Linked DNA regions of Rattus norvegicus. The protein of the gene in region 3 interacts with the protein of the main gene of each other region in a pairwise test. Links are inferred from orthologs where the notes say so. Each region holds a gene or a part of one and is shown on either strand. Other genes may lie near its edges.

Region 1 (3,975 bases), on a different chromosome or scaffold from region 3:
CTAGAAGGAAAATGGACATCCATAAAGGACTTTAAACCTTAGTGGATGCTGGGTAATGGTGGTACATGTCTTTAATCCCAGCATTCAGGACGCAGAGGCTGGTGAATCTCTGAGTTCAAGGCCAGCCTAGCCTACAGAGTGAGTTCCAGGATGGTCAGGACTACACAGAGAACACTAGTTGGGAGGCTTAGTGGACAACCCCACCTCGTTCTGATCACATGTGGGACAACTGAGATTCCCAGAGCATTGCATACTTGTTCCAACATCACAGCAGGGGCTTTTTACTGATCTTGCCATAGGGCAAGGATAGAGACAAACAGCCCGACCATGCTGTCCTCAAACATCAGGTGGTTTCTCACCCTGCATCTATGCTGATCTCCAGACATCATGGTAACCACAGGAGGACACTGAACAAGCTACTAGAGAAAAAGAAAAGCCCCAGTTCCTGCTCGACATGGAAGGACACTCAGGTTCCTTAACCTTAGTCCACCTATGCCATGGTGGCAGAGCAGGCTCTCCTCAAAGTGCCTAGCCATCAGTGTGGCACTATTCCCGGGCACTGTAACAGACAAACCTCTGCCCTGGCTTTTCTTCAGCATCTGCAGATAGGCTGCACCTCCAGAGTGGGCAGGTTCTTCCTGTCCCTACCTAAAACTCTCTACCTAAACTCTCAGGAATCTCTGCTCTAGCCAGATTTGCAAAGTTACAGCACCATAGCCAATGAGGTTTATCAGAGGCACAATTATTGCTAATTGAAAACTACCAAACCTGGTGACACAGGCCTTATCATCTTAGATACTTAGGAGGCTGGGGCAAGAGGATCAAAAGTTCAAAGCTTATCTGAGTCTCAGAGTGAACTCAAGATTAGCATGGGAATCCTAATGAGACCTTGTCTTAAAACAAAGTAAAGAGAGGGCCATCTAGACACAGCTGTGGTAAAGCACTTACTTGGCAAGTTAAGGCCCTGGGTTCAATACCCAGTATCAAAAAAGAGGGCAGGTGAGATGGCTCAGCAGATAAAGGCGCTTGCCAACAAGTTGTACAACCTAAGTTCAATCTCCAGCTCCCAAATAGTGGAAGGAGATAACCAGCTTCCAGGGGTCGTCCTCATATTTACACACACACCACGCTAACAAATGTAAAATTAATTAAATTAAAATATACAAAGGAAAGGATGCTAGTTTTCTTTTAAAAGCTAACACCTACAAATCCCATAGTCCCACTTCTTATCTCTTTCTCAAACTAACCACCACCTTCCTCCTAGGTTTGTAACAGACAACCCTGATTTTCTTCCTCTGCCCAAGCTCCATTCTTCAAACCTCAAGGGTAGGCAGGCTCTTCTTGTCCTACCTTAAACCCTCCAACTCTGTTTAAAGCTGCTCTTCTACCACTTCAAGTTTTTACTCCTACAACTGAGACAGACTCTTCTAACACCCAACACTATTGTGTTTGCTGTCCTCCAAGTTGCCACTATGAGCTCATTTGTCTTACAAGCCACAAAAAAAAAAAAAAGCAAGGAGAGCCCACCCAGCCATTCAAACCATCCTTACTAGAGGCAGTGGTAGGGGCTGGGCTAACCCTTCAATCTGTGAGAATTACCTGCTCAGCCTGCAGCCTTGTATCTTGGCCCTAAGGCGGGCTGTACAGCAATCAGCCCTCAAGTGGCTGACTTTCCTAAGAAGACCTGATCCTTAGAGCCAGGGGCACTGATCCACAACAGCCCTGCATTCCCACAAGAAAAGCCCAAACAAACCACCAGCTGTTCCAAGGAACCTCTCAGGTTACTGGGACCTCTGCAGGTTCCCTTCTCAACTGTTTAGTCCTATCTGTGGCCTTCCATCCTTATTGTGTCTCCCTATGGATCCCAACCCCATCTCTGCCACCCTCGGTTCCAAGTTTGTCATTTGTGTTTTAACGCCCTTACCGGAAAGAAGCACCAGCAGTACCAGGCGGCTTCTGTTTCCAGTGTAAAGGCATATATGGGAACTTAACCTGCTTCCTGCTTTAGACCCCCACCCTGCAACCCTCAGAGCAAACCTGCTCATCCCCCAAAGCTATCCCGCAGCCCTCTACTTCAAGCAGTCCTGAGGAAAAGACTCATGACTCAGCCACTATCTGGGCTGCCCTAGGAGCGGTGCCGCGGATGCTCTGGAGTCATACTCGGTTTTAAGGCCACCTCCTCGTCCCTTCCCACCCACGGAAGGCAAGATGCAGGTGCCATCATCCCCTAAGGATGCTCCCAAAACTACGCGGGTCGGAGGTTGGACTGCCGAACCCACACTGGCTAGGGACCAGGCGAGGGGCCATCATCTCCTCAGGTCTCAACGCCACAGGCTCGACTCGGAATCTCTACTGTCTGCCCAAACCGACTTGCTGTTGCCTGAGGCCTGACTAAGCAGGGGAAAAATTTATTAGAGAAACCTGGTTCTGAAGGGTGGGGGCAGACAGGGGAGACAACGGCTGGGCCAAGAACGCCCGCGGCCACCGCCGGGCGACGAACAGAGGGCGGCTCTCGGTCAGCGTGGCGTCCATAGCGAAGCGGCAGGGTGGAGGGCGGGCCTGGGCAAGGGGTCTCGACTGCCTGGGCTAGGTTTCATTCAGACGGTGTCCACGGAGCGGGGCCCCAGGGTCCTGGCGGCCCGCGCCCCTCACCGCGTTCTTCCTGGTCACCATTTTGTCCAGCCTCCGGGCGATACGAGCAATCTCCTCCTCCTTGCCCATCACTACCTCGGTGGCGGCGGATTGCGCCGGTTGCGCCGCCCGGCCGGACCTCGGCCGCCGCCGCCTAGATCCGCGGTCCAAACCTCCGCCTGGCGGCCGCGTGCAATACAATTAAAAAAAAAAAAAAAAAAAGAGTCTCCGCCCCCGGGACCACAACTCCCAGACGACTGCGCGGCCCGCGGCCTGCGGGCCCCTGGAAAAGGTAGTTCCGTAGCTTCCTCCGCGGGAACTCGGCCCCACGTGCCAACCGAATGCCAGGGAGAGGGTGGAACTAGAGGAGCGGGGAGAACTACCCTGCTGCGCTCCGGTCTTTACCTCAACCCATCGGAGCCGCTCGCCCTGGCGGCCCATCCGCCTTCACTGATCCACTCCGGTCGCCTCCACTGATCTACTCCACTTCAGAGACGCGCGTGGGGAGTGGGACGACTCACTCACCTCACTTGGTACCAAGCCGAGTTTGGGGCGTTCTTGCCTCTGCGCAGATGGCCCGGAACTCTGAAACGGTTTCTCCGCAAGAATTCAGGCTTTAGCCAGGCAATAGAGCCTCATGCCTTTTAAATCCCAGCACTCTAGGCAGAAAGTCAGGCGGATCCCTGTGAGTTCAAGGCCAGCCTGGTCTACAGAGCTAGTTCCAAGACAGCCAGAGCTGCACAGGGGAACCCTGTCTCTAAAGAAAAACGAAACAACAACAAAAACCTATTCAGGTTCTGAAGTCAGCCTAACAATACAAACCCCAAGTTCTGCACGTTGCTCTATGTCTCAGTCTCCCAACCTGTGAAGTGACAATGACAGGCTTCAGTCAGGGTCATCCAATTCACATTATACACTGAGAACAGGGGAGGGTACTGAGGCAATCAGGTACCGAGGCAGTACCTCAGGAAGACCATAACCATGCCCAGGAAAGGGAGAAAGAGACTCTGCTCCTCTTCTGTGCTATAGATGGTGGCAGGTGTGCTGGTACCAAAAGTCAGTGTCTGAGTTTTTGTACCCACAGTAGCCAGGAGGGCAGAGTGCAAATGGCATATACAAATGGCTTGGGCTGACCATTTCAATCAGTTATGACATCTTTACCATAAGGAAAAGGCATGGAATTTCCTGTAGGTAACAAAGCTTTTCCATATGTGTACACAGCTCTCTAGTTTCATACCAACTCCTATTCTGCCCTCTCCTGGGCGCTGGGCCCTTGCTCTAAGCTAAACCCAACTAAACAAATTCTGAGAGAGGGAACCCTGTGTTTGAGTACTGAACTAATGC
Region 2 (3,979 bases), on a different chromosome or scaffold from region 3:
GAACAATCTGCCTAACGCTTTCCAGTGCTGTCTCTCTAGTAGTTGGGTCTCTACTGCACAGACCCTCCCACCTCACTTCATTCTCTCCTTCGGCCATGACTGACAATCGTGAGCTTTTTCTTTTTCAGTCTTTTTGAGAGAGAGATTGGTTAAGAATAAAGTCAGAAAAATCCAGCGGTCACGAAAGCAGGCGTCTGGATGGCACTGGGAATCACACGTGCTTTTTTAAAGTTGATGCTTTCAAATCGATCCACAAGGCGGTTCACCCAGGCACCCTCTCCCACACGAAAGGGCAGTCTTCTGACAGAGATGGAAAAGAACCAACTTGGAAAGTTGCAATCTCACAGAGCTGGTTAGCTGGACAGGGAGTCTCGGGGAAGTGCTCTCGGTGTCGCAGGGTCAGCGGATATCCTCGCGTTGTGGAGCTGTCAAATCCGTGCTTGGTCCCAAAAGGCTGGTAACAGTAGAAGGTTCTCCAGCCATTCGATTTTTTTATTTTTTGTCTGTGCAGCGGCCAGTTTTCTAGTGTTCCCACCCCGCCCTCCTCCGACACCAGTCTCCGCCCCTGTCGGCTCCTCCTAGCGCCTCGGCAGGGCAGCGGGCGGGCTGCTGGCGGGGGTAGGCGGTAGACCCTGGCCCTTAGCTGCTGGGGCCTGAGGCTCCGGTGCTCCGGGGACTCCAGTGCCCACCAGTCACTGTGTCAGCGGCGACAGAGGGCAGCGTCGCCGACCCTGCCGGTTCCTGTCTTCCGGGGTACGCCGTGCTTCTCTTACCCCTCTGTCCTCGCCCACCTCCGCCAAGCCAGAGGGCACCCAGCGACCCAGCAGTCATCGAGCCCCGGGCTGCGCTGCTGAAGCACAGGGCCCCAGGCACAGAGCCCGCCCCTTCGCCCAGCCCCGTCGGTGGGGCTCGGCCCAGAAGGCGGGAGCAGGGAGGGGAGACGGGGTCCTCACACCCAGCCCCTCCCCTGTCCCCGCCCGGGACCGCCGGGAGCCGCCCCTGCCCCATGCCTGCCTCTCCGCCCAGGCACACGCGACCCGCAAAGGCAGCCATTGGAAGCAGCCCCGCCCTCGGGCAGAGTACCTCCGGACCCCGAGTCCAACGCGCGCCGCCGGCTAAGGCCGGCTGCTGCGCATGCGCGACGCCGGCCAAGGCGCATGCGCTCTCCGCGGCGTTGTCCGTTCTCGACGTTTGGAGGCGCTGGCTTGAAGAAGGGTAAAGGAAATTAAGGAGTACGGATGCCCCGAGATGTTTATCGCACAAGAAAAAACGAACAAATAAAGGTGCTTTGTAGTATTCCTAGTATAAGTGGGATATAATTAAAGATTAGCCTAAAAATTAGTGACAGCCAAGCCCCAGATTCAGTAGGCAGGGCGTCTTTGCGTTGGCTTTCGGGAAATGTAGTTGTAATGCTACCGACGCGCTCTGTTTGCGACAGAAAATACAACTCCCAGATGCCACCGCGACACTCGTCTTTGCCCGCGAACCAACGGTTCTGGAGGCCGTGGTTAACTGGGAGCGTCTGTCTGGTAAGCGTGGTAGACTTGGCTGTGAGCCGCTCATTGGAAATGGTTTTCCCCTGAAATTTTGGTGCTGAAGCCATCTGGGATTGCTTTCTTTCATTCCAGAGCCTTTCCCCAATGGCTTGCCGGGAGAGAAATAGTGCAGGCGCTAAACTTGGTGGGTGACTGGAGCAAGGATTTGGGGATAATTGTTTGGAAGGTCGAGGAGCAGCCTTAAGACAGGCAAGCTGGGGAAAACAAACGACGCCGCTGCTTCCGCAATCCTCTTGCACGGGATCTGTAAGATTCGAGAACACCCCTCTGAGCCCTACGTTCCGGATGTCACACTCGTTTGAATCTTACGGAGCCAGTTCTGGATGGATTAGGAATCCCTACTAAGCATTGCAATTGCACCTTTGTTCTTACAGGGGTGTGTTTTGCGCTGTGTTTTTGCTAAGTCAAATAGAATCCGAAGGGATCTTTGAAAGCAAGTCCGTTTTGTGTGAGACCGAGAAGAACTCCCAAATGTCCCTAGGTTCGAAGTTTTACAAGCTTTGAAAGGTTCTGTATGAAAAGAAGCCCATAAAAACCTCCCAAATGTGTTGTCTTTGAGTGATGTGGACATTTCTCAGAAGGTGTTGTGAAGTGTTTATACTTGAGAAAACTCAGATTTGGAAGGTTTGTCTAGTAAGACTGGTAATCGGATTAGATTTTAATCCTTTGTTTTACAGAGTAAACGTAGTCATAAAATATTGATCAGGGACTGGAGAGATGGGGTGGTTGTTTAAGAAGGCTTGTTCCTGGGGCTGGGGATTTAGCTCAGTGGTAGAGCGCTTGCCTAGGAAGCGCAAGGCCCTGGGTTCGGTCCCCAGCTCCGAAAAAAAAGAACCAAAAAAAAAAAAAAAAAAAAAAAGGCTTTGCTAACCTAGGACTAATCCTAGAAACTTCTAGCTTCTGTAGAAGCCTAGAATGTTTTCAGCTTCTGAGACTTACTGCTGAATAAGCTCACCCTTCCTGGCTCTCTCTGAACTCTGGCTGGCTGGTTCAGCGCCCAGCTGTTCTGACTCAAACTGGCATCTCTTGCTTCTGACTGAATTACTCTGCTTGGCTTCAAACTCACTCACTCTAGCGAACTGTTCTAACCTTCTGCTCCTGCTCATTCAGTCTTTCCCTGTGTCTAACTTGTTCTCTCTTCAACCTGCCTCTGTAAAACTCCCAGTAAAGCTCCCTTCCTTCCTCTCCCTCTGCTCTGCTCCCTCTTATGTTGCCTCTCTCCTTTCTCTTTTCCTGAGAGCTGGGCATATCCTATTCTATCAAATCTTTTTCTGATTCGTCACTTTGTCTGCCTCTCAGTTTGAAAGTAGACATCACATGGCTGCTTCCTTCTACAAACTAACTTTACCTTCATTGTTTGGGATAAAAGGTGTGTGCTAAGGGCATGTCAGTGTTCTAATCTGAGTAGCCATGTTGCTGGATTAAAATCCCACCACAGGCGAGTGGAAAAGACATAACCCCTCATCGTATTAGAAAATTAATGTATAAAATAAGTTGTGATACTATTTGATATTGTTGGCTGTGGGAACATTTAGCCCAATCTTAGAAAGTCAGGGAAGTTTTCATCCCAAGGAAAATGAAGGCCAAATGAATAGCACAAGGCTTCAGCCAACAAGTGCCTGCTGACTGCCTTCTGCTCAGTAGGGCGTCACTGAGCTTGTAGTCTAGGAGAGCAAATAAGAGTGCATGGCAAAGGAAACAATGAAGCAAATTGGAAAGGAATGAAAAGTGCTTGACTGGCGAGAAAAGGTTCCCCTTTCAGTCTGAGGAGGATCCTTGATGGCTTGTATGTGCTGGCTGCCCACATCAGCCACCTCAGCCACCTCGGGACAGCTGTTAGAAGATGAGCTAGCAGGGTGGAGTTGCCTTTATCCAAAGGCCTGCAATACTGAGAAGATGGTTTAGCCTCCAATCTGGTGTGTGTGCGCGGGTGGGGTACAGAGGACTCTGCTATTGTGGAGGATGATGCAGACAGTGAGCAGAGAGTCCGTGCTGGGAGGGGGAGTGGTGTGGAGTTTTCTCTGCCTTGTTCTGGGTGGGCTTAATTCTCCAGAGCGTCACAGGGGACCAAGGGCCCATGGTTTTTGTTTGGGGACATGGGCTGTTTTGTTTGTAGGCCCCTCCAGTTACCTTTCTCTGAGTTAATTTATGTGCTTTGCATTCTCTGACGCTACATCAAATCATCTCATGAATCATCAAAACCAAGGGCTTTTGGGAGTTCTGAAGGTCATCCAATTTAATCATCCCGGTGGGACTAAAGATTCCAGAGGGACACGAGGTCTGGGCAGAGGAGACAGGGGAAGACTGGACAGAGAGGGACCTACTTGAAAATACGGCTTTTTTTTTTTTTTTTGGTTCTTTTTTTCGGAGCTGGGGACCGAACCCAGGGCCTTGTGCTTCCTAGGCAAGCGCTCTACCACTGA
Region 3 (3,134 bases):
AGTCCAAGTATTGACTGTCTTGTTTGCTGCCAGGCTCTTGACTAATTAAAATGTCTCCAAAAATGAATCTCCTAAGTTGAGAGGGTAAGCCAGGAAGGTCTTTTGTTTGCCCATTGCCTCTAGCCCCATACACAGAGTACCCAGTTTGCTGTATTTCTTTGTGTTTATAAGAGTTTCTTGAGGGGTTGGGGATTTAGCTCAGTGGTAGAGCGCTTGCCTAGGAAGCGCAAGGCCCTGGGTTCGGTCCCCAGCTCCGGAAAAAAGAACCAAAAAAAAAAAAAAAAAAAAAGAGTTTCTTGAGATAGGATTGAATAGGGTCAGATCAATCTCTGTGATTCAGCTGGCAGCAGACTCACAGAGAACCGACAGCAGAGGGAACCAACCTCATTTCTGAAAAATCATATTTAAAACAGACTCTTATGGGATATACTTGGTTGAAGGGTAATTGCTCTGTTCAATGTTATGTGAAACATTTATTGAAGAAAAAGTCACACAACGTCTCATGTAATCAGGCTGACATTTAATTACAAGGAACCCAGGTTCTTACACAAGGCAGGAGATTGAGAGCCAGCAACTCCCATAAGCCTTTTCAGTCTTGAATACTGAGGCAAAGGAGATGGAGAAACACTGATGGGGTGGGGGGTTCTGGCACAGTGTACTCTGCCCAAAGGTGAGGGTGGTAGCCTCTGGGGATCTGCCCTCTGGGCTGGTCCAGGTCTGCCATCAATTCATGTAGAATTCTGGTTCCTGCGGTCGCATATTGGGTAACACATACAGAGCTACTGCTGCAATAGCCAAGAATACCATAGGCTTCCACATCCCAAACATGTTCTGTGGGGACCAAAAAACAACAGTGAGTTCCACGCCTTCTTCCTGAACCCGTCCTTAAGCCAGAAAACACGGCCTACTAGAGGGCATGCCTCAGGAACATTCTTTTTTTTTTTTTTTTTTTTCTTTTCTTTTTTTCGGAGCTGGGGACCGAACCCAGGGCCTTGCGCTTGCTAGGCAAGCGCTCTACCACTGAGCTAAATCCCCAACCCCCTCAGGAACATTCTTATGGCTTAGCCTCTCTCACCTCCAGGGAGATCATGGAGACTCTGTGGTTTCATTCCAGCACACTAGTTTTGTGGCAGGATACTGTATGATTACTTAGGTTATCCCTGTATTTGTGCTTGATTTGTCTCCATGGGATGAGAATATTGGTTCCTATTTGCATAAGCAAGATTCCAGGCCCACCTTCAGGGACTCTTCATGTAGGTGTGTGAGAAGAGGTGGGGTAACCTGGGCCTTTAGAGAGGGTAGGTGTAGCTCACTGACTTTATGGAGAAGTGAGAGCTAAGTTAAGGAGTGTGGGCATGAGAGGAGGCAACAAAATGCATTGCAGAATGAAGTAGAGATCACTGGTGGCCAGAGATTGTGTGCCAGGTGATGTCACTTTGAGGAAATCCAGGGGAACCTGCTGTTGGTCCTGAACAGCAGTGTCATGAGCCAATGAATGCACTCCTCACCCCAGCTCTCCACCTTCAGTCACGGGGCCATGGCCTGACAGCCTGCCGCATGCACTGAGTGCCATCAGGCTTCTAAATGCTCTGGCTGCTGGGAAACCCTGATGCCTCATGGGTAGGAAAACACGCCATAAGAAAACATTCAGGAAACAAGAATTCTTGAACACAAAAATGAGAGAAATAGTTCCTATCTTTACTATTCGCTTTACTGTGTTGCTTAAAGAATCTGGATTTTGAATCAAAAGTTACAGCGTAAGGGGAAGATGTCTTGAGGAAAAAAATGGAGTGGAGTTCATTAAAGCTAACGTATTCGATTAAAGAATAACTGTTCTCAAAGAAAAATTTAAGCTAATTACAAAGAGCATATAATCTCCCAATTTTATAGGAAAAGTTGCTAAGAACAAAAAATATATAAAATGAAAAAATTAATGTTAGAAGTGGACGTAAAACAATCCACAATAGAAATTAGGAAGCAGGAGCACACATGAGTGCTGCTGCCTGGTCTACACGCCAGGCCCTCTCATGACAAACGGATATCTAGAAAAGGCATTTACTCTAGCTCTGGTAGCACACATGTAATCCCAGAACTTTGCTGCATGGCCAGTTTGGAGCCTGTCTGGGCTACATTGGCTCCTGTCCCAAAACCTAAAAAAGAAAAGCCCAGATGTCAGCTGCTAGTGGCTGAGCAGCCACCGATGGCTGAAGGATGCAGGGAAGGGACAGCCATTTGCTGTTGGTGTAGGTGTAGCCACAGTTAAAGGCTCCACAGGCAGCCCACGTCCATGGGCACATAGACAATGCCGGGCTATTTGGGTGTCCCAAAGAGCTTCTGGGCTCCAGGAAATCACAAGCATCTGGATGTGTCACGAACCTGACAGACTATGCAAGGTATCTGACAAGATTTCCTTGAAGTCCTTGCAGACAACAAGCAGAAAGAGTAGGAGGATATCAATGTTGTCTGTTCTGATCATTCCTTAAGAGCCAAACCACTGAGTAAAGAGAACTTGACAAGACAGCCCTAGAGGCTGGGTCCTTCTGTGAGATTGACAAGACAGCCCTAGAGGCTGGGTCCTTCTGTGAGATTGACAAGACAGCCCTAGAAGCTGGGTCCTTCTGTGAGATTGACAAGACAGCCCCTAGAGGCTGGGTCCTTCTGTGAGATTGACAAGACAGCCCTAGAGGCTGGGTCCTTCTGTGAGATTGACAAGACAGCCCTAGAGGCTGGGTCCTTCTGTGAGATTGGCTGAACTCAAAGGTGTTCACCTGAAGATGTGAATGACGTTAGCAGGAAAAAAGAGCATTGTGAAAACATAAAACATAGGGTCAGGGTCAACAATTAATCAAACAAGACTCCACAAAAACTCATCCGCTATGGCAGTGAATTACTGCTAAGAGAGAAAAATGGAAAACTTTGTCACTGAACTCCAAGCAATCAGTGTTAGTACAGAATGAGGAGAGGATACTTAGTGTTCACAATACACAAAAGTCTTAGAAACGAGACACTAATAAATTAATATTAGTCACCAAGAGAGCTACTGAGGTTGGAGGTCCCAGAAACACAACAGGGTAATAGTATAATCTGCTGTATATTGTCTTCCCCATTCCCCAGGGCCAACCAATGAAAGGTGC
Region 4 (3,500 bases), on a different chromosome or scaffold from region 3:
CTTTAGTTGAAGACTCTTAAGTTGCTTGGATTAGCCTTGAATTCACTCTGTAGCCTAGATGGGCCTTGAACTTATGCTTTTTCTGTGTCAGCCCCTCTGATATTCTGGTCTTCTAAGCACCGTGACACAACTACGAATCAACTTCCATCTTCTTTGCTTTTTTTTTTTTTTTTGATAGAAATCGTTTAAAGATATTTATATTATATTATACACGTGTGTGTGTGTGTGTGTGTGTGTGTGTGTGTAAATGGGTCATGTCTATAGGGATGCCTACAGAGGCAGAAGGGGGTGTCAGATCAGCTGAAGTTACAGGCAGCCACCTACCATGGGTGCTAGGAAGTGAACTTGAATCCTCTGGAGGAGCAGTGAGTGCACTTAACCATGAGCCAGTCTCCAAATTTCTCTAGCCCCCAAGTAACTTTTGAGATACAATCAAACACGAGGAGAGCCCAGCAGCAGAACTATCACCTGTTTTTCCTCAGGAGGCAGTTTACTCCACTCGTTGCCCAACATCCTTGTGATTTCTGGAAATGGGACCTCTGGTCGTTTTGCTCGAAGCTGTTCTCTACGCTCATTCATGAATCGAACATATCCTGTAAGGGGGGACTTGGGTGCATTGCTGTCCCGAAGAGGTTTCTTCCTTTTTCTCCCTTTGGACCAGCCTCCTCGTTTACTTCTTTGCTATAAAACAAAACAAAATGAAAAACCAAAACCCAAACAGTAATCACTCAAGTAATCGATCAGCAATAGGAACAAATAGGAACATCTAAAGAGGACACGAGCTGCACTTTCCTGTGGGGCCTGGATAGCCAAAGCTCTCCAGACCAGTCAAATACCATGATGACGCATTAAATACAAATTTCAGATATTTCAACTACAGACCCTTTAAGGCAGTGGTTCTCAATCTGTGGGTCAGGACTCCTGAGGGGGTGTCAGATAACCCTTTCACAGGGGTTGCATATCAGATACCTGCATATCAGATATTTACAATATGATTCATGACAATAGCACAACTATAGTTATGGAGTAGCAATGAAAATAAGTTTATGGTTGGGAGTCATTACAGCATGAGGAATTGTATTAAGGGGTCAGACAGCATTGGGAAGGTTGAAAACCAGTGCTTTAAGACATCATACTACAAATTTGAGAAATAAAAGGCTATTAAAATTTTATTTTTGGAAACAGGGTCTCTCTAGGTAGCACAAGCTGGGTTCAAACTCATTATGTATCCCAGGGTACACTCAAAATCACGGTGATCCTACTGCCTCAGCTGCTTGAGTGCTGCGGTTTCAGGCATGCACTGCCACCCTTGTTGTCTAAAGGGTTATTTTGGTACTAATCCCAAAAGACGAGAAGGGGGCACCATGACTGTGCACGCTTTGGCCTTCCTCTACACTTCCTGACAGGGATGTTCTACATGACACATTCAGCTGCACTCCTCCCCAAACCAGAGAAGGAGGCACTGTCACAGGAAGTCAGGATAAGACGCTGCCATGTGCAGCGAGCGAGTGAAGGAAAAGCGGCAGCATGGGGATTAAAAATAATTAATGAAAGCCTTCCTCACTGATACTGAAGATCAGTTAATCCCATAGCAAACAGCAGACAGATATTTAAATTAATATTTAGTCTCAGGAAATTATCAGCAATATATATAAAATAAAGACAAGTTCTTTAGCTTGATGATTGTTCATTAAGATACAAATTTTATAAAGTCATAGCCTTTTTTTTGTTCTTTCATTTTGAGATAGAAGTTTTTACATACTGGGTTTCGATAAAGCAGATCAAATCAACTTTTAATATGCTTTTAAAAACTGCAGTGTCAGCTGGGCATGGTGGCACATGCCTTTAGTCCTCCGCAGAGGCAGTCGGAACTGAGTTTGAGGTCAGACTTGTCAGCAGGGTGAGTTCTAGGGCAGCTGAGCTACAGAGAGTAACCCTGTCTGGAAAACCCAAACCAAACCAAACCAAACCAAACCAAACCAAACCAAACCAAACCAAACCAAACCAAACCAAACCAAACCAAACCAAACCAAACTTCACTGAACCAAAACAAAACCCCCTGTGGTGTCGCTGATATGTGACACCAGTCTTTCTTCTTGCCTTCTAAATGAGACACATCATACTCTGTTCCATAATTTAACACATGCAAAGTCTATCAGTCTATGCACCATGAATACAGGAATTCTTATTTCAGGGAGGAGAAAGGTGAACAAGATCCGAAGGGGACAAGCGCATCTATGTATTAAGTGTAGTACTGTACTGTACTCCTCCAAATCTATGTGAATGGTGACAGTTCTGCATTTGGTAAATTGTATATTAGAGATTAGGTTTCCAGCTTTTTTGTTTTGTTTTGTTTTACTTTTTGGAAGCCTAGGAACATGAAGCTACTAAGGAGCCTAGTACGTGGCCCAGTGAAAATGTGCTTAGCATAAATCCCGAGCATTATACACCCACACAAACACCACCCCACACCATAGCAAACACGTAACAAGTTGAGGAAAAGCTACCAGCATTCATTATTATCTTTAGAAACACCAGCGGGGTATATGAACAAACCAGTTTTTTCATATACGAGAGAAGACAAACATGGATGATGCTGTTCTTGTCTGTCTTAAAACAGAAGAGTGGAATGTGGCCAGTCATCTGTAATAAAGTCATCTGTAAGTGAAGGCCATGACTGCCCATCCCCATACTGAATGTCTGTGTGCTTTGGGGAAGGATGGGCCCTACGGGAGGGAGGAGGACTCATTAAGTGATCTGGCACATATGTCTTTGTCTTGTAGGGCTTGTGAACAGCGTATAGCCCTGAACAAGGGCATGAAGACTTCTTAATAGTTACTTAATTAAACCATTCACTCACAAAACAAGTATTTGTCAAGACTGAGACCGGCAAGCACATCTGCAATTCTAGCAGATGTCACCTGAGTCACCTGAGACCCTATATCAAAACAGCAATAACAACAATAAAAACAAACCAACAACAACACAACAAACAGCTTCCGAGCATGCTGAACATTACAGGAAATAGCTATGTTTAGTCAGATTGAGGATAGACAGATTCTATTTGTCTCTACGTCATTAAAACCATTGATAAGACTCTAGATATGACAAGAGATATGTATGAGAAAGCTGGGCAAGTCTCAGCCCAGGAAACTAAGGCACGAGGTGGCAGTCACGTCACTGAATAAGTCCTTGGATGCCAGTTGCTTTGGAAGCTCCAGTGGACAGTGACAGGAGATGCTAGCTTACCTCATCTTCAGGCCTCTGCTCACTGCCTTCTGCAGCATTGGAAGACTCACTCTGAAGCAGCTGGCCTTGGGAGAGATCCTCCACAAATTCTGGGTTGTTGGTTGTTGATGTGGCTGCACTGCCATATGGACCCTCGGGGTGTGTTAACCTGAGTAGTAGGCAGAAGTACGTAAGGTCAGCATGGACAGCAGGAAACCTTCTCTTATTATGCTGCCGTAAGTTTTCCTGCTAGATAAAACACAAGCCAGTAC
Region 5 (3,500 bases), on a different chromosome or scaffold from region 3:
TCTAAAGGCTCGGCCCCCCACCTCCAGAAAGGGTGTCGGATCTCCCAGTAGGTTAATTGCTAGAGTGATTTCCTTGTGATATTGTGGGGTTTTTATTGTTTTGTTCTTTAAGAATTCAGTAGAGAAGGTAGTAAAACCTCTGGCTAGTTAATGTTTTAACTAGCTTGTTGTGTGTAAGTAAATGTTTTTACTGGGTGCCTGGAAGGCATAGGAAGAGCCACCATTCAAAGGCATAAGCCCCATTTACTCACCTACTTTACACTTGGCCCCTGGCAGCTGCTGTGTTGAATGCACACATTTTTTTCCCCTTTTAGTTCTCTTTAAAAAGAGCAGGTGACTGATGGTATCCTTAAAAAGTAAAGGAAGCAGGCCTGAGAGATATTCTCAGCAGAAAAGACAAGATTCTTAGCTTGTAGCCAAATTCCAAATGTGGGATTTGTTATTTTCTTTATTTACTGTTTTTTAAGAAGCTTGGGGTGGGGGCAGCACAGACTCTTAAATAAATCATACTTGATTGTGTCTAGAGATTGTTGTAAGCAACAAGATCATGTGCTCCAAAACCTTCTCTGAGTTCTTCTGTCAGTTTGTTGTAAACTCCTGAAACATAAAGTCATCAGAAAGTATAATCAGAGAGTAGACTGCAGACAGCGGTGCTTTCTCTCTTACTTTAGGAAAGCCCATGATTGTGATTGGTTTGTTTGTAGGTGAAGAAGACTACTCCCCTGAGGCCGGGGTACACTGGGAACCCTTCCTACCATGCTGCATGCACGCCATGGTTATTAGACAACCTGTCCACCGAGAGAAGAGACATTCTTCTATAAGGTAAGATGACCCAGGATCATCAGCCTCCTAGGCTATTTTGAGGAAAATCCTGTTTAACTTTTATTTTTCTTCTTGAAATCTGTTAATGAGTTGGTTGGGGCTATAGCTTAGTAATAGAGTGCATTTAGCAGGCTTCAGGCTCTGAGTTCAGTCCCTAGTCTAATAGAATAGACTTGCACAGAAAAGAATGGGCAAAATAGTGATTTAAAGAATAAACTAATGTAGCAGGCACTGAAAGAAAAACCTAGGTTTCTTTTGATGTTGTTTCAGTCTTTTTCCTATAGAGGAGACCTCTCTAGGTGCCAAGATAATTTTCTATTAAACACACCTGTGGGGCCTGGGAAAGGCTTAGTGGGTAAAGTGCTTTAGCACAGGCATGAAGATTGAGTTTAGATCCCCATCTACTCAGGGAAAAGTCAGGAATGAAAACTTCCATGGGATTCCATGGGATATACACTTGTCACCCCAGCACCAGAGTGCAGTGACAAGGAGGATCATAACGGCTTATCTAGCCTGTCTAGCAGAAATGGTAAAGCCGAGGTTCAGTGAGGGACTCTCTCTAAAAGAGTAAGGGAGAGCTATAGAGGAGGGCGCCTTAGTGTATCTCCACACTTACACTATCCACAGAACTCACTCTGAGCCAACATGGCGACATGTACCTGTGACTCAACACTTGGTAGCTAGAGATGGGAGGATCAAGAGCTCAAGGCCAACCTAGGCTACATAGGAAGTTGGGAGGCCAGGCAGAGCTAAATAAGACTGACTCAAAAAGAATAGTAAAATAAATCAGAGCTTCAGAAGCGTTCTGCTAAAGATGATGGTCTGAGTGGACAGGAAGGGGTTCCATTAATGTGTGCTGGTAAGTTTTGTTATAGTCTCTTATAGCACTGAAACTAACATGAAACCCATTCTGAAAGGTATTTTTTTTATGTTAAATTTCTAAGCCAAGAGACTGAATTTCAAGGAAGTAATTAAGTGAAGAATCAAAAGGAAACTTGCTTATTAAGAGAACAAATTATCAAGAAATTTCTCATTTTCCAATTTTCTCTGAGGAAACAGCTATTTGAGGTAATAGCTTGATATTTTTAAATTATATCACTGGGCGATATCGCTGAGACTATAGTGATGTCATTATTATATGTAAAAGCACATCAGATGTTTGTGTTCCCAGCCTGTTTTGGCTCCACCAAGCTAGGCTTACTTTTCTTGTGTTCTCTAGTTCATGATGAGAAATTTTGTAAGAAAAAGTATTAGTTGCAAAATTATCCTTGGATGTCTAACCTACATATGAGAACAGAATATCTTCAAAGGACTTTATCACTTTTTTTTTCTTTCAAGCAAATTTACTTATAGAAATGGAGGTTACCAACCAGGAGATTCGTCTAATTGCTTCTGACAAAGCAGCCCATTTGGAATGTCTTCCTAAGATCTTGTCAGTCTGGCTTTCTCTGTCTATCTCAAATGCTTCAAAGTATGCAGACAGGCTTGTACCCCCACATGAGAAGTAGCCATGTTACTTTGGGCTTCCCTGTGTGCATGGACAAGCTTCTTGTCTGCTGGGTTTGAGGACACACTTCTCCATGACCTGCAGAAGATGTGGGGTCCTTAGCATTAGTGTTCATTGACGTAATTTCATCATGTGGTCAATCCACAGGTTGCTTAGCATGCTATTTTGAGTATTTATGAAATAAAACTTCTGGTACTGAAATTAGAAAAAAATGTTTTAAAAGAATATGACAGGGAAGAGAAGACAAACATCGTGATCAGGTAGCCGAGGTAGGAAAACTGAGAAACACACGCACATGTGTGAATATAATCTATTTTATCCAGTTCCTTCGCTCAGCTGCTACCCCCCAGGCTTTATTACCTTGTATTAAAAATAAGATGCTGATGTGGATTGGGTCAGAGACTTGGCCTAGAGACAGCCCCTCCTTTTCAGTTCCTCCTCCAGGCTTTAATGGGCTGTTTTTTGCTATTCCATATTTATTGACTCAGACTGTGATAAAATCCTTGAGTAGTTTGTAACTTCCGTCGGGGTGGTGCATCGTGTAAGTCAGACTTCCTAAGACTGGTCCTACTGCAGCCATCTTAGCGTCCTGAGACCACCGTCCACTTTACCAGGAGAGAGCTGTCGTGACCAATGGAGTTTCAAGTTTTCAAAAAGACTGCAGAAAAGATTTTTCTGTTAAGTGGGTGTTTTCTGCCCCGCTTTCTCTTTCAATTAATTTATAGCCTTAATGCAGCTATGGGAAATTTAGGTCTAAGCAGATGCCTGCTAGCCAGTCTTGTTGAGCTGCTCTCCATGTCTATACTGATTTAGGGAGCGAATAGTTGTGTGGTGGTCAGTGAGCACAGTGTGAAGAGAGACAGATTCTAAATTGCATGTGCTCTCCCTTCCCGAAAGGCTGCCTCCCGTGACCTAATGTCTGGTTGGTGAAAAGCAGACTCTGCTAGGATGTTACACCACCACTGCCGGAGGAACCCTGAGCTCCAGGAAGAATTGCAGATTCAGGCTGCAGTGGCGGCCGGGGATGTTCACACAGTACGAAAGATGTTGGAACAAGGCTATTCCCCAAATGGCCGAGATGCCAATGGCTGGACCTTGCTCCATTTCTCTGCAGCAAGAGGAAAGGAGAGGTGTGTTCGAGTGTTTCTGGAACACGGAGGTGAGTTCACTG
Region 6 (4,132 bases), on a different chromosome or scaffold from region 3:
CGCACGCGCACGCACGCGCACACACGCGCACACACGCACACACGCGCACGCGCACACACGCGCACACACACACACACACACACACACACACAAAGAGAGGGTATTGCTATGTAGCCCAAGCTGGCTTTGAACTCAGCATCTTCCTGCTTCTGTTCCTCCTAGTTCCCCATTAGAGGCATACACTACCATATTTGGTTTGCATTAGGTTCTAAGTTCGTATTTTCACATTGTCCCATCACTCCTGTCCTTTGTTTGTGATAAGGTTTCATTATGCAGCTGGCTGGTCTGGTACTCAGGAGATGCACTTGCTCCTGCTTCTCAGGTACTGAGGTTAAAGGTGTACGCCATGGTGCCAGGTTGCCACTGCCTTGCTTTACCTCAGCCGGGAAGCCTTACAGCTGTCTCCCTTGGGTTCCACTGTACTCAGCACAGACCAGGTTCTGAGCTGTCAGCCCTGGGAGGCCCAAAAGGTAACACGGAGATGGCAAATCCAACCAATGGAGGCCTCTGCTTACTTTCTATTATTTTGGTTACCAATTATTCAGCTGGTCAGATGCGACTGGGGGACTAACCAGGTAGGAGTCAGGTTTTCAGATCAAGAAGGCCCTTTCTTGATTCTGAAGAGGTCTGTGGCTTACCTGGTCCATGTTGATATTTCAACCTTGGTGTAGCCCAATTCTATTGCTGTACAAACAGGGAAACTAAGACCCTCTCTAGGAGTGGAGAATAAACATGCCCAAAGTCAAACAGCAGGTTGAAAGTGGTGTTGTCGAGCACTTAGGCCTCCCTCCGGTTTTCCATATTCCCAGTGAGAAAGCTAGTTGGATTCCTGCCTCCACTTGGCTCCCAAGGCCAGGAGGCCTTGCACAAGTGAGTGATCTGAACAGCTCAATGGGATGACCCCATCTTTGACTAAACTGGGGGGATGTACTGTCTTGAAAAGCAGATTCTCTTGTGTCCAGACAGAGCAGGCTAGCCCATGAGATGGCAAGTGTTCACTCCCTCCCGTCAGCAGGAGCTCCCCCTCACCTAGACCCTTGGCTTTCTTCTTTTCCTGTGGCCTTCGAAGGTCTCGGTCTCCAACCTCGTCACTTGCTCGGATCTCTTCTGTGCCAGGCTCCCCCTTAGAGGTCTCTTTCTCGCCATTGACGACTGGAATGCCCGGTTCAGGCTCCCCATTCCTGGCTGCATAGGTTCGGGACTTCTCTGTGTCTTCAGGCTCAGTGGGCTCCCCCTGAGCTCCCTCCTCACCTGGGCCTCCCTGATTGTTGTCCACACAGTATGTACTCAGAATGTCTTCCAACTGTCGGCTCAGCTCCTCAGAGACATCACAGAGGGCCCCAGACTGAGATGCTTTAGCTCGAGCGCCTACAAGATGAAGACAGTGAACGTTAGGTGGTTACACCGCTCCCTTGGGTTTTCTTCTTCTTTAAGCCCAGACAAACACCACTTGTGTGGGTTAAACGTTCCATTTATTTATTCAGTTGAGACAGGCTCTCTCTACAGGGCCTTGGCTGTCTGGGAACTCACTATGAGGATGAGGATGACCTCAAACTCAGATCTACCTGCCTCTGACTTCTGGGTTCTGAGAACAAAGGTGAGGGCCACTATGCCTGGCCTCAATTTAATTTTTTTAAACCCTAAGTCGTATAAAACGTTTTTATAAGACGAAACAATTATTTCTAACACCCAAACATACTTGTTATGACCATCAAAGACAACTGTGTAAAGCACCCCTACAAGAGGGACGACTGACGTGTAGCAGACGCTCTGTCTTATGAAGGACAATTAATCACCGGGCACTGGCAAGTGGGAATATGACTTTGCTTATGGGGCGCCTCATTTGATTGTCATTTGGTTTAAACCAGTCAGAGCATGCCCCCAAGGTTCCGTTCCAGGGCTAAGAGTGGAAAGCTTCATCACCTCCCTAGGAAACATGAGGATCACAGAATGGGCATTGTTTCATTCTATAGTTCCTCCTTCCTGGGTAAATACTGGCCTCAGATAGATGCAAGTACCAGAAACTCCTCCCTCTGCCCACTGGAAAAGCAGAGCTGGCACACACCCTCGGTCTTCCCAGGAGCCTGGCTTGTGGAACCTTCAGCTTCCGCACCAGGAGCTGTCTGTCTGGGCCGTCCATGAGCTCCCTCCGGTCCTGCTTCCCGTTGCCCAGGGCTGTTCTTCGGGTTGGAGTGTTTGGCAGGCCCATTCTTTTTGTCTTGGTTCTTCATTGTGATCTGCAAGGCCAGAAAAGGGGTAGATCCTTTACGGACACCGCTGCTATTTTCTAGACTTCAAAATTCTTCACAACCTAGATGAGAAATCTCCAAATCTGAAGCTCTAAGCTTCAAACAAACTGGTCGGCCTTCGCCTGAGACTTCACGGTCCCGGGCAAGGTTTCCGAGAAGCTGCACCAGCACAGAGTGAAGGAAGGAAGAGGCCTCCCTTCTCCTGAATGCCACTTCTCAGCACCACACGGCTCCCTCTCGGCAGCGGGAGCGCGGGATTGGCTCAGAGCCGCAGACTGACGTGGCGGGATGCTCCAGTCCCGACCGGCCCCCCGCCCCACCAGGTCCCACGTGGGATTCCCGCGCGCGCGCGCGCGTACACAGAAGACACCCACACCCCACGCGCCCTCTAGACCCGAAGTACGCATGCGCAGCACGGCAGCACACAACTCTCCCCACCCCGTCCACAGAATTAGTTGTTCCTCCGCGGCTAACGCGTCCTGGGTCATGGACCCTCTGAAGAGCTCGTCCCGTGTACAGCCCAAAGACATACTTCACCGCGGACGTCCGACCGCGTCCCCGACTCTGGCCGAGCACCGGAAACCTGGGTAACTGCTGCCAGCTGGACCACCCTCTCCTGCGGCAGCCAATCAACAGCAAACGCTGGCGCGGAGCTTGCTGGGAAAAGAGGCCAAGGCGGCTTTGGAGGCGGGAGTGGGAAAAACTACGAGTCCCTTCATGCCTTGCGGCAGGTCACAACTCCCGAGATGCAACCGAAAAGCTTAGGAGCCAAATACCCTGAGGGTCCGAAATTATGTCATTCGGTCTAGAGATTCGTGTCAGCCTCCTTCCTAGTACAGAAACTATGATTGGCCCTTAAACTTTGGCAGTCTGGATTTTTTTTCATACACTCCCTTATGAACATGTATGACTATTTTAGGATCTCTGAGGACTTGCGAGTGGAAGAGAGAAAGAAGGGTAAACTGTGAATTAGGAGATATTTATCTCACGCCCAAACCACTAATTTGTTATGTGCCTAGTATCCCTCCCCTCTCCATTCCAGTAGAAGGTTTATAATAATCCAAACAATGTGTTCTTCCCTCGTATGTAATAGCTTGGTCCTCATAATTACTCAGAGAAAGAACATTATACTCAGAGATCTGGGAAATATAGGGCAGTACGGAAAAGGCTAATTAAAAGAAAAAAGTATGTACTATTGTTTGTTAGAGACAATGTCTCATGTGTGGCTTTGGCAGGCCCCGAATTCTCTAGGTGTATCAAATTGGCCTTGAATTCAAGAGTTCTGCCTGTCTTTGTCTCTCCAAGACTGGGACTAATGGCACGGGCCACCATGCCCAGGTAAAGGGTAAATAATCTATGGCTCCATCCATCAATACTGTGTGCTTATTGCGGATTCAAACCTGGAAGCCTGACACCACCCATCCTTTTCTTAATCTTCTCCCCAGTGCCCCATTCCATTCCACCCAGCCCAGTCAGGGTTTCTCCGTGTAGCCCTGGCTGTTAGTCTTTGACTATGCTGGCTTCTACCTCAGATCCAACTAAAACCCATCTTAACCATTCTCCGCCATCACAGGCTTTGAGACCAAGTATGCCCCGCCTTCTGACATCACCAGCTTGGATCCTCAGGAGGGGATTGTAGCAAGGAGGTTTGGCTTTAGGCGGATTGGTAAACTCCCACTCAGCCCTGCCCCACTTTCTGCAAAGTACCACGTGCTCCTACATGGGCTAATGCTTTAGAAAGTTAGATTTTGTCTTTGTTCATTAGGATTTTCGATGCTTAGATCATTCAAAAACAAACACAATTGTGATTTCAATTATTTACTTGTTTGGAGTTTGCTATGTTTGATAAGGTCTTGCTTTCTAGTGCTGCCTGACTTGGAACT
Region 7 (4,073 bases), on a different chromosome or scaffold from region 3:
TTCATTTTTAGGGAACTGATGTGAAGCACTTGACTTCTCACCTCACTGCTTCTCTCAGTGAATGTGGGACCCTCTGGGCCTTGTTCCAGGCCTCCTACTATGGTGGCTAATCCTTAATCTCTTTTGATGTCTCTATTAAATGTTGAGGTTCTCTCTGTCTCTGTGTGCCTGTGTGTATGTGCCTGTGTGTGTGTGTGTGTGCACCAGAGGTCAATGACAGACTTTTTCTCCCCTCGGTGACACAGATACAGGCTGGATTAGACCGGATTAGAAGTGGATAAAGGCAGGTTTATTAGGGGGCAGCTCTTGGGTGGGTTCATCGATCTCACAGGTGGAGGTCGGTGACGTCACATCCAGGCTAAAGCAAGGGGGTTTTACAGAGCTTTGTGAGGAGTGAAGATCTGCTAGCTAGGAGCTGGGATGGTTGGTGTGCACGTGTGGTCAGAATCTGAGCCCCCGGGGAGGCACTCTTGGGCAGGTTGTCTGGAATTCGGAGAGGAGTGATGATGTGTTAGCCTGAGTTTTCTCCCAGGTGGGCGGGGCTGGGGAAAGGAGAGCAGAAGGAGTTTCCCAGCCTGTGCAGGGGTGAGCATCAGTTGCAGGAACATCCGATCTCGGGTGAGTTCCCTAGTCCATCTTATCTTTTGAGATGGGGCTTTCGGCAAATTCCAGGAATCTGCCTGTTTCCTCCTCCCGAAGCACTGGGATTATACACAAAAGCCAACACACCAGGTGTGTATGTGGGTGTTGGAAACCCAAACTCCACTTATAACACAAATCTTCAGTGAGCAGGGCACTTTGGAACCTAAGCACAACTATACAAAGGACAGACCTTTCTGCCAGAGTATATGTCAGTTTCCAAGTGAATTGTTCAAGCTGGCAGTTATAATTACGAATTTATGTAAACTCTCTAGAAATGACACCCATTCTCTCCTCTGGTTCTTATTAACAGAAGATGGGGGCGATTATAGTCCTTTTACAGACAGAGAAACAGAAGTCATGTCCTATAATCACCCAGCGAGTAGCAGACAATGGCTTCTGATCCAGAATCCAACTCCTTCCCTCCATTCCAGCATTCTGCCTTCTGTAACCTTTGATAGATTGTGTTGAATGGCAGCCTTATCAGGTATAAACCAGTCCTAGGATTCTGGTGGTTTGGGCCTCTGTCTACTTTACATAACCTTGAAAGAGCTGATACAGGCCAGCCACGGTGCCTGAATCCCAGTATTGGGAAGATGGAGGCAGGAGGGTCAGGATTTTAACAGCAAATTTGAGGCAATCCTGAACCAAAGGAGACCCTGTCTAAAATAAAACAAAAACCAAGTTTGTAGCTGTTAGTACAGCACTTGCCTAAAGCACAAACCCTTCATCCCACCCCCAGCACTGCTAAGAAACCAAGTGGCAGGGGTTGGGGTGGGGACACATACACACATGTGCACGTGCACACACACACACACACACACACAGACATGCTCCTTCCTGGTGCTTTACACCAGCAGAGTGCTAGACTTTTTAAGTGAATAAAAGTTGGGCATTTTACTATGCACCTTTAAACCAAGCACTCAGGAGGCAGAGGCAGGCAGAGCTCTGTGAGTTTGAGTTCCAGGACAGCCATGGCTATGTCTCAAGAGACAAACTAAAAAGGATGCTGCAATGGCTTAAGAGCACTTGCTGCTCTTGCAGAGCACCTAGGCTTGATTCCCAGCCCCCATCACAACCGTCAGGAACTCCCAGGAACTCACACTGCGCACATTCATACACATAAATCTAAAAACAAACAAATGAAATGAATAGAACGGATAGAGCCCTGGTTGCCCTTCCAAGTTCCTGAGTTCAATTCCCAGCAACCACATGGTGGCTCACAACTATCTGTAATGGGATCTGATGCCCTCCTCTGGTGTGTCTGAAGACTGCGACAGTGTACTCATATGTATAAAATAAATAAACCATAATCCATATGTATATGGAAAAGAAGTAGAGAGGATAGAGGAAGACTGTGCCCTCCTGCTAGAAATGCATCCAGGACATAATACTGAAAATGTTTTGCGAGAAGACCTCACTGCACCCGTATGGCCCCTTTAGTAAACTTTGGGATTTCGGGGATTTATCTGGATGTTTCTCTATATCTATGGAGCATCTGTCCACTGAACTTCAAACAGGCTTTCCTAAAGGACTGCTAAAATCCACTACTAACCAAAACCGATAAAATACACTTGTCAGTCCAACTTATCATCTGAGGTTTTATGAAAACTATAGATAGGCACATCAGTTTTCCTCAAGGGAAAAAACAAAAATTAAAAATAGAAAAAAATTTAAAAAACTGAAGAATATTTATTCTCAAGATATGCTGGAGAATAAATAAGTAGAATTCTGTTCTGTGCACACTCTAGAAATAGCTATAAAAATGCTCTCCAAGAAAGTTTTGCATTAGTCTTTAGTTGGAGCAGAGAGCAGGAAGGGTCTGCAGAGGACACCGCATTTCCACCCGTCCCTGCTGGTGAGGACCCGGACAGCCCCCAGACCCCGCCGGGCTCCCACATTACCGACGCCCGTATCTGCCACATCCTTTTCTTCTGTTTCTCTTCCACGGCCGCCGCCAACGCCGCTGCTACCAAGAACTATAAGGGGTCTTCGCGTTCGTACTGGGAGGCCCTTGCTCCTGTGATGGGATTTGCGGGCAGGTGGAGGTTGGCAGCAGCCAGTCTGATAGCCTAGTGCGGCGAAGCCACCGCCCCGCCTCCGAGCCCGAGCGCCCGCGCCGGCCCGGGGCGGGTGAGCTGGCGCCGCCGCCTCGCTCGCAGATCCTGGCTGGGGAGAGCGGTTACTAGGGGCACGGTTACTAGGGACGCTACAGGAGGTGGCGAAGGACCGTAACGCAGGCAACGTCCTTTCTCACTGTCACAAATGCGAGCCCCGAGTCCAGCTAACGTCTAATGATGGTTTCTGATACAATCCTGCGGTTTAACGGGGCATTCTAGAAGCATAACTATCCGAATCTACACTAATGACTACCACAGTAAGCTAAAGTAAAACGCAGTCTTCAAGAGAGTTTGCTCAATGGAATCTCATCAGCACCGGGACTATTACTGATTCTCTTGAATGACACCCAGATCCGCAGCTAGGGACTGAGCTTTTCTCTGGTTTCTAGCTTTATTTCGTTCTATCTGAACGAGGACTTCTCGCGGTATACGCAGAAAGCGCGTTTTTATTAACTGGATCAACATATTAGAGCACAGAGGAACAGGAAAGAACGGGCGTTGGGTGACCAGCCCAAGAAAAGGACAGGCTATGCAGCGTGCTATTCAACATGGCGGAGAACGCAGTTCATCTCTAATTGACAAGAATTTCACGAGTTGACCAATCAGAGGGAGAATACTTATTTGTCCCGCCCTCCTGTTTCTCGACTGACCAGTAAGACGCTAGACATAGGAAATGCCTGTCACTCGGACCAGTGAGTGATGGGGTAGCTTGTCTTGGGGTTCTGCAGCTAGCTTAGCCGCAGGCTTGGAGGGGGAGAACCCACAGGGACCACACCCTCCCAGCTCAACCCCACCAGCCTCCTGATCGATCTTAGGTTTTTGGCCGCTTCGGATGGTCTTTCAGTGAAGTCTCAGCCACCTGCAACGTAACACTACTTAGAAGTAGCGCCCCTGTCCCCACCATAAGGTTCCAGTAGTTTCCACATTATGCGGCTCGCCTTCCACTGAACCTGTTTCTGACGCAGTTGCTACCAGCCCTTCCTTGCTCGCCCCTGCGAGGTCTCCATCACCTCACCTTCCCTGCCTCCTCTGGTTTGGCTGAGCTTGCCTCTTGCAGGAACTGATGGGTACTGGTTGGTTCTGAAAAGCTAGAGGTGGGGAGGGATCCATAGCCGTCGGAATGACAGCTAGTTCTGTGACGGGATTTGGTGTAAGCCAACTCAAAAACAAGACCTGTCTACAGACTGAAGCCCTGTAAGCTGATGGTTTTAGGATCATGAAATAGTAAATAATGGGTATGAAGGACATCAGTGTCCTTCAGTACAGAGAATAGGAAAGTTTCGACCGACAGTATTCTAAATTTGCAGACATCGA

Evidence for each region.
Region 1: the proteins of Ccdc136 (region 3) and Tcea2 interact in binary tests that used the Homo sapiens proteins (3 or more experiments, as listed by UniProt). The two-hybrid records come from large-scale screens. The link is inferred for Rattus norvegicus from reciprocal best matches to the Homo sapiens genes CCDC136 and TCEA2.
Region 2: the proteins of Ccdc136 (region 3) and Cep57l1 interact in binary tests that used the Homo sapiens proteins (3 or more experiments, as listed by UniProt). The two-hybrid records come from large-scale screens. The link is inferred for Rattus norvegicus from reciprocal best matches to the Homo sapiens genes CCDC136 and CEP57L1.
Region 4: the proteins of Ccdc136 (region 3) and Hmg20a interact in binary tests that used the Homo sapiens proteins (3 or more experiments, as listed by UniProt). The two-hybrid records come from large-scale screens. The link is inferred for Rattus norvegicus from reciprocal best matches to the Homo sapiens genes CCDC136 and HMG20A.
Region 5: the proteins of Ccdc136 (region 3) and Asb7 interact in binary tests that used the Homo sapiens proteins (3 or more experiments, as listed by UniProt). The two-hybrid records come from large-scale screens. The link is inferred for Rattus norvegicus from reciprocal best matches to the Homo sapiens genes CCDC136 and ASB7.
Region 6: the proteins of Ccdc136 (region 3) and Txlna interact in binary tests that used the Homo sapiens proteins (3 or more experiments, as listed by UniProt). The two-hybrid records come from large-scale screens. The link is inferred for Rattus norvegicus from reciprocal best matches to the Homo sapiens genes CCDC136 and TXLNA.
Region 7: the proteins of Ccdc136 (region 3) and Fam161a interact in binary tests that used the Homo sapiens proteins (3 or more experiments, as listed by UniProt). The two-hybrid records come from large-scale screens. The link is inferred for Rattus norvegicus from reciprocal best matches to the Homo sapiens genes CCDC136 and FAM161A.

Annotation. Positions count from the first base shown.
Region 1 is NC_086021.1:189,172,651-189,176,625, reverse strand, and holds the start of Tcea2 (transcription elongation factor A protein 2), read right to left. Parts: upstream 2,801-3,975; 5' UTR 2,722-2,800; coding exon 2,653-2,721; exon of another isoform or gene 2,533-2,652; coding exon of another isoform or gene 2,422-2,532; intron 1-2,421. UniProt on the Homo sapiens protein: Necessary for efficient RNA polymerase II transcription elongation past template-encoded arresting sites.
Region 2 is NC_086038.1:46,874,048-46,878,026, reverse strand, and holds the start of Cep57l1 (centrosomal protein CEP57L1), read left to right. Parts: upstream 1-1,179; 5' UTR 1,180-1,238; coding exon 1,239-1,283; exon of another isoform or gene 1,284-1,409; coding exon of another isoform or gene 1,410-1,529; intron 1,530-3,979. Other genes in the region: Sesn1 (sestrin-1), read right to left, coding at 1-97. UniProt on the Homo sapiens protein: Centrosomal protein which may be required for microtubule attachment to centrosomes.
Region 3 is NC_086022.1:58,990,329-58,993,462, reverse strand, and holds the end of Ccdc136 (coiled-coil domain-containing protein 136), read right to left. Parts: exon of another isoform or gene 1,880-3,134; intron 832-1,879; coding exon 724-831; 3' UTR 501-723; downstream 1-500. UniProt on the Homo sapiens protein: May play a role in acrosome formation in spermatogenesis and in fertilization.
Region 4 is NC_086026.1:65,767,688-65,771,187, reverse strand, and holds part of Hmg20a (high mobility group protein 20A), read right to left. Parts: intron 3,398-3,500; coding exon 3,250-3,397; intron 682-3,249; coding exon 469-681; intron 1-468. UniProt on the Homo sapiens protein: Plays a role in neuronal differentiation as chromatin-associated protein. Acts as inhibitor of HMG20B. Overcomes the repressive effects of the neuronal silencer REST and induces the activation of neuronal-specific genes.
Region 5 is NC_086019.1:129,667,506-129,671,005, reverse strand, and holds part of Asb7 (ankyrin repeat and SOCS box protein 7), read left to right. Parts: intron 1-704; 5' UTR 705-822; intron 823-1,766; exon of another isoform or gene 1,767-1,890; intron 1,891-3,226; 5' UTR 3,227-3,277; coding exon 3,278-3,488; intron 3,489-3,500. UniProt on the Homo sapiens protein: Probable substrate-recognition component of a SCF-like ECS (Elongin-Cullin-SOCS-box protein) E3 ubiquitin-protein ligase complex which mediates the ubiquitination and subsequent proteasomal degradation of target proteins.
Region 6 is NC_086023.1:147,266,474-147,270,605, forward strand, and holds the start of Txlna (alpha-taxilin), read right to left. Parts: upstream 2,801-4,132; 5' UTR 2,688-2,800; intron 2,238-2,687; 5' UTR 2,232-2,237; coding exon 2,066-2,231; intron 1,369-2,065; coding exon 1,030-1,368; intron 1-1,029. UniProt on the Homo sapiens protein: May be involved in intracellular vesicle traffic and potentially in calcium-dependent exocytosis in neuroendocrine cells.
Region 7 is NC_086032.1:101,209,421-101,213,493, reverse strand, and holds the start of Fam161a (protein FAM161A), read right to left. Parts: upstream 2,801-4,073; 5' UTR 2,565-2,800; coding exon 2,544-2,564; intron 158-2,543; exon of another isoform or gene 1-157. UniProt on the Homo sapiens protein: Involved in ciliogenesis.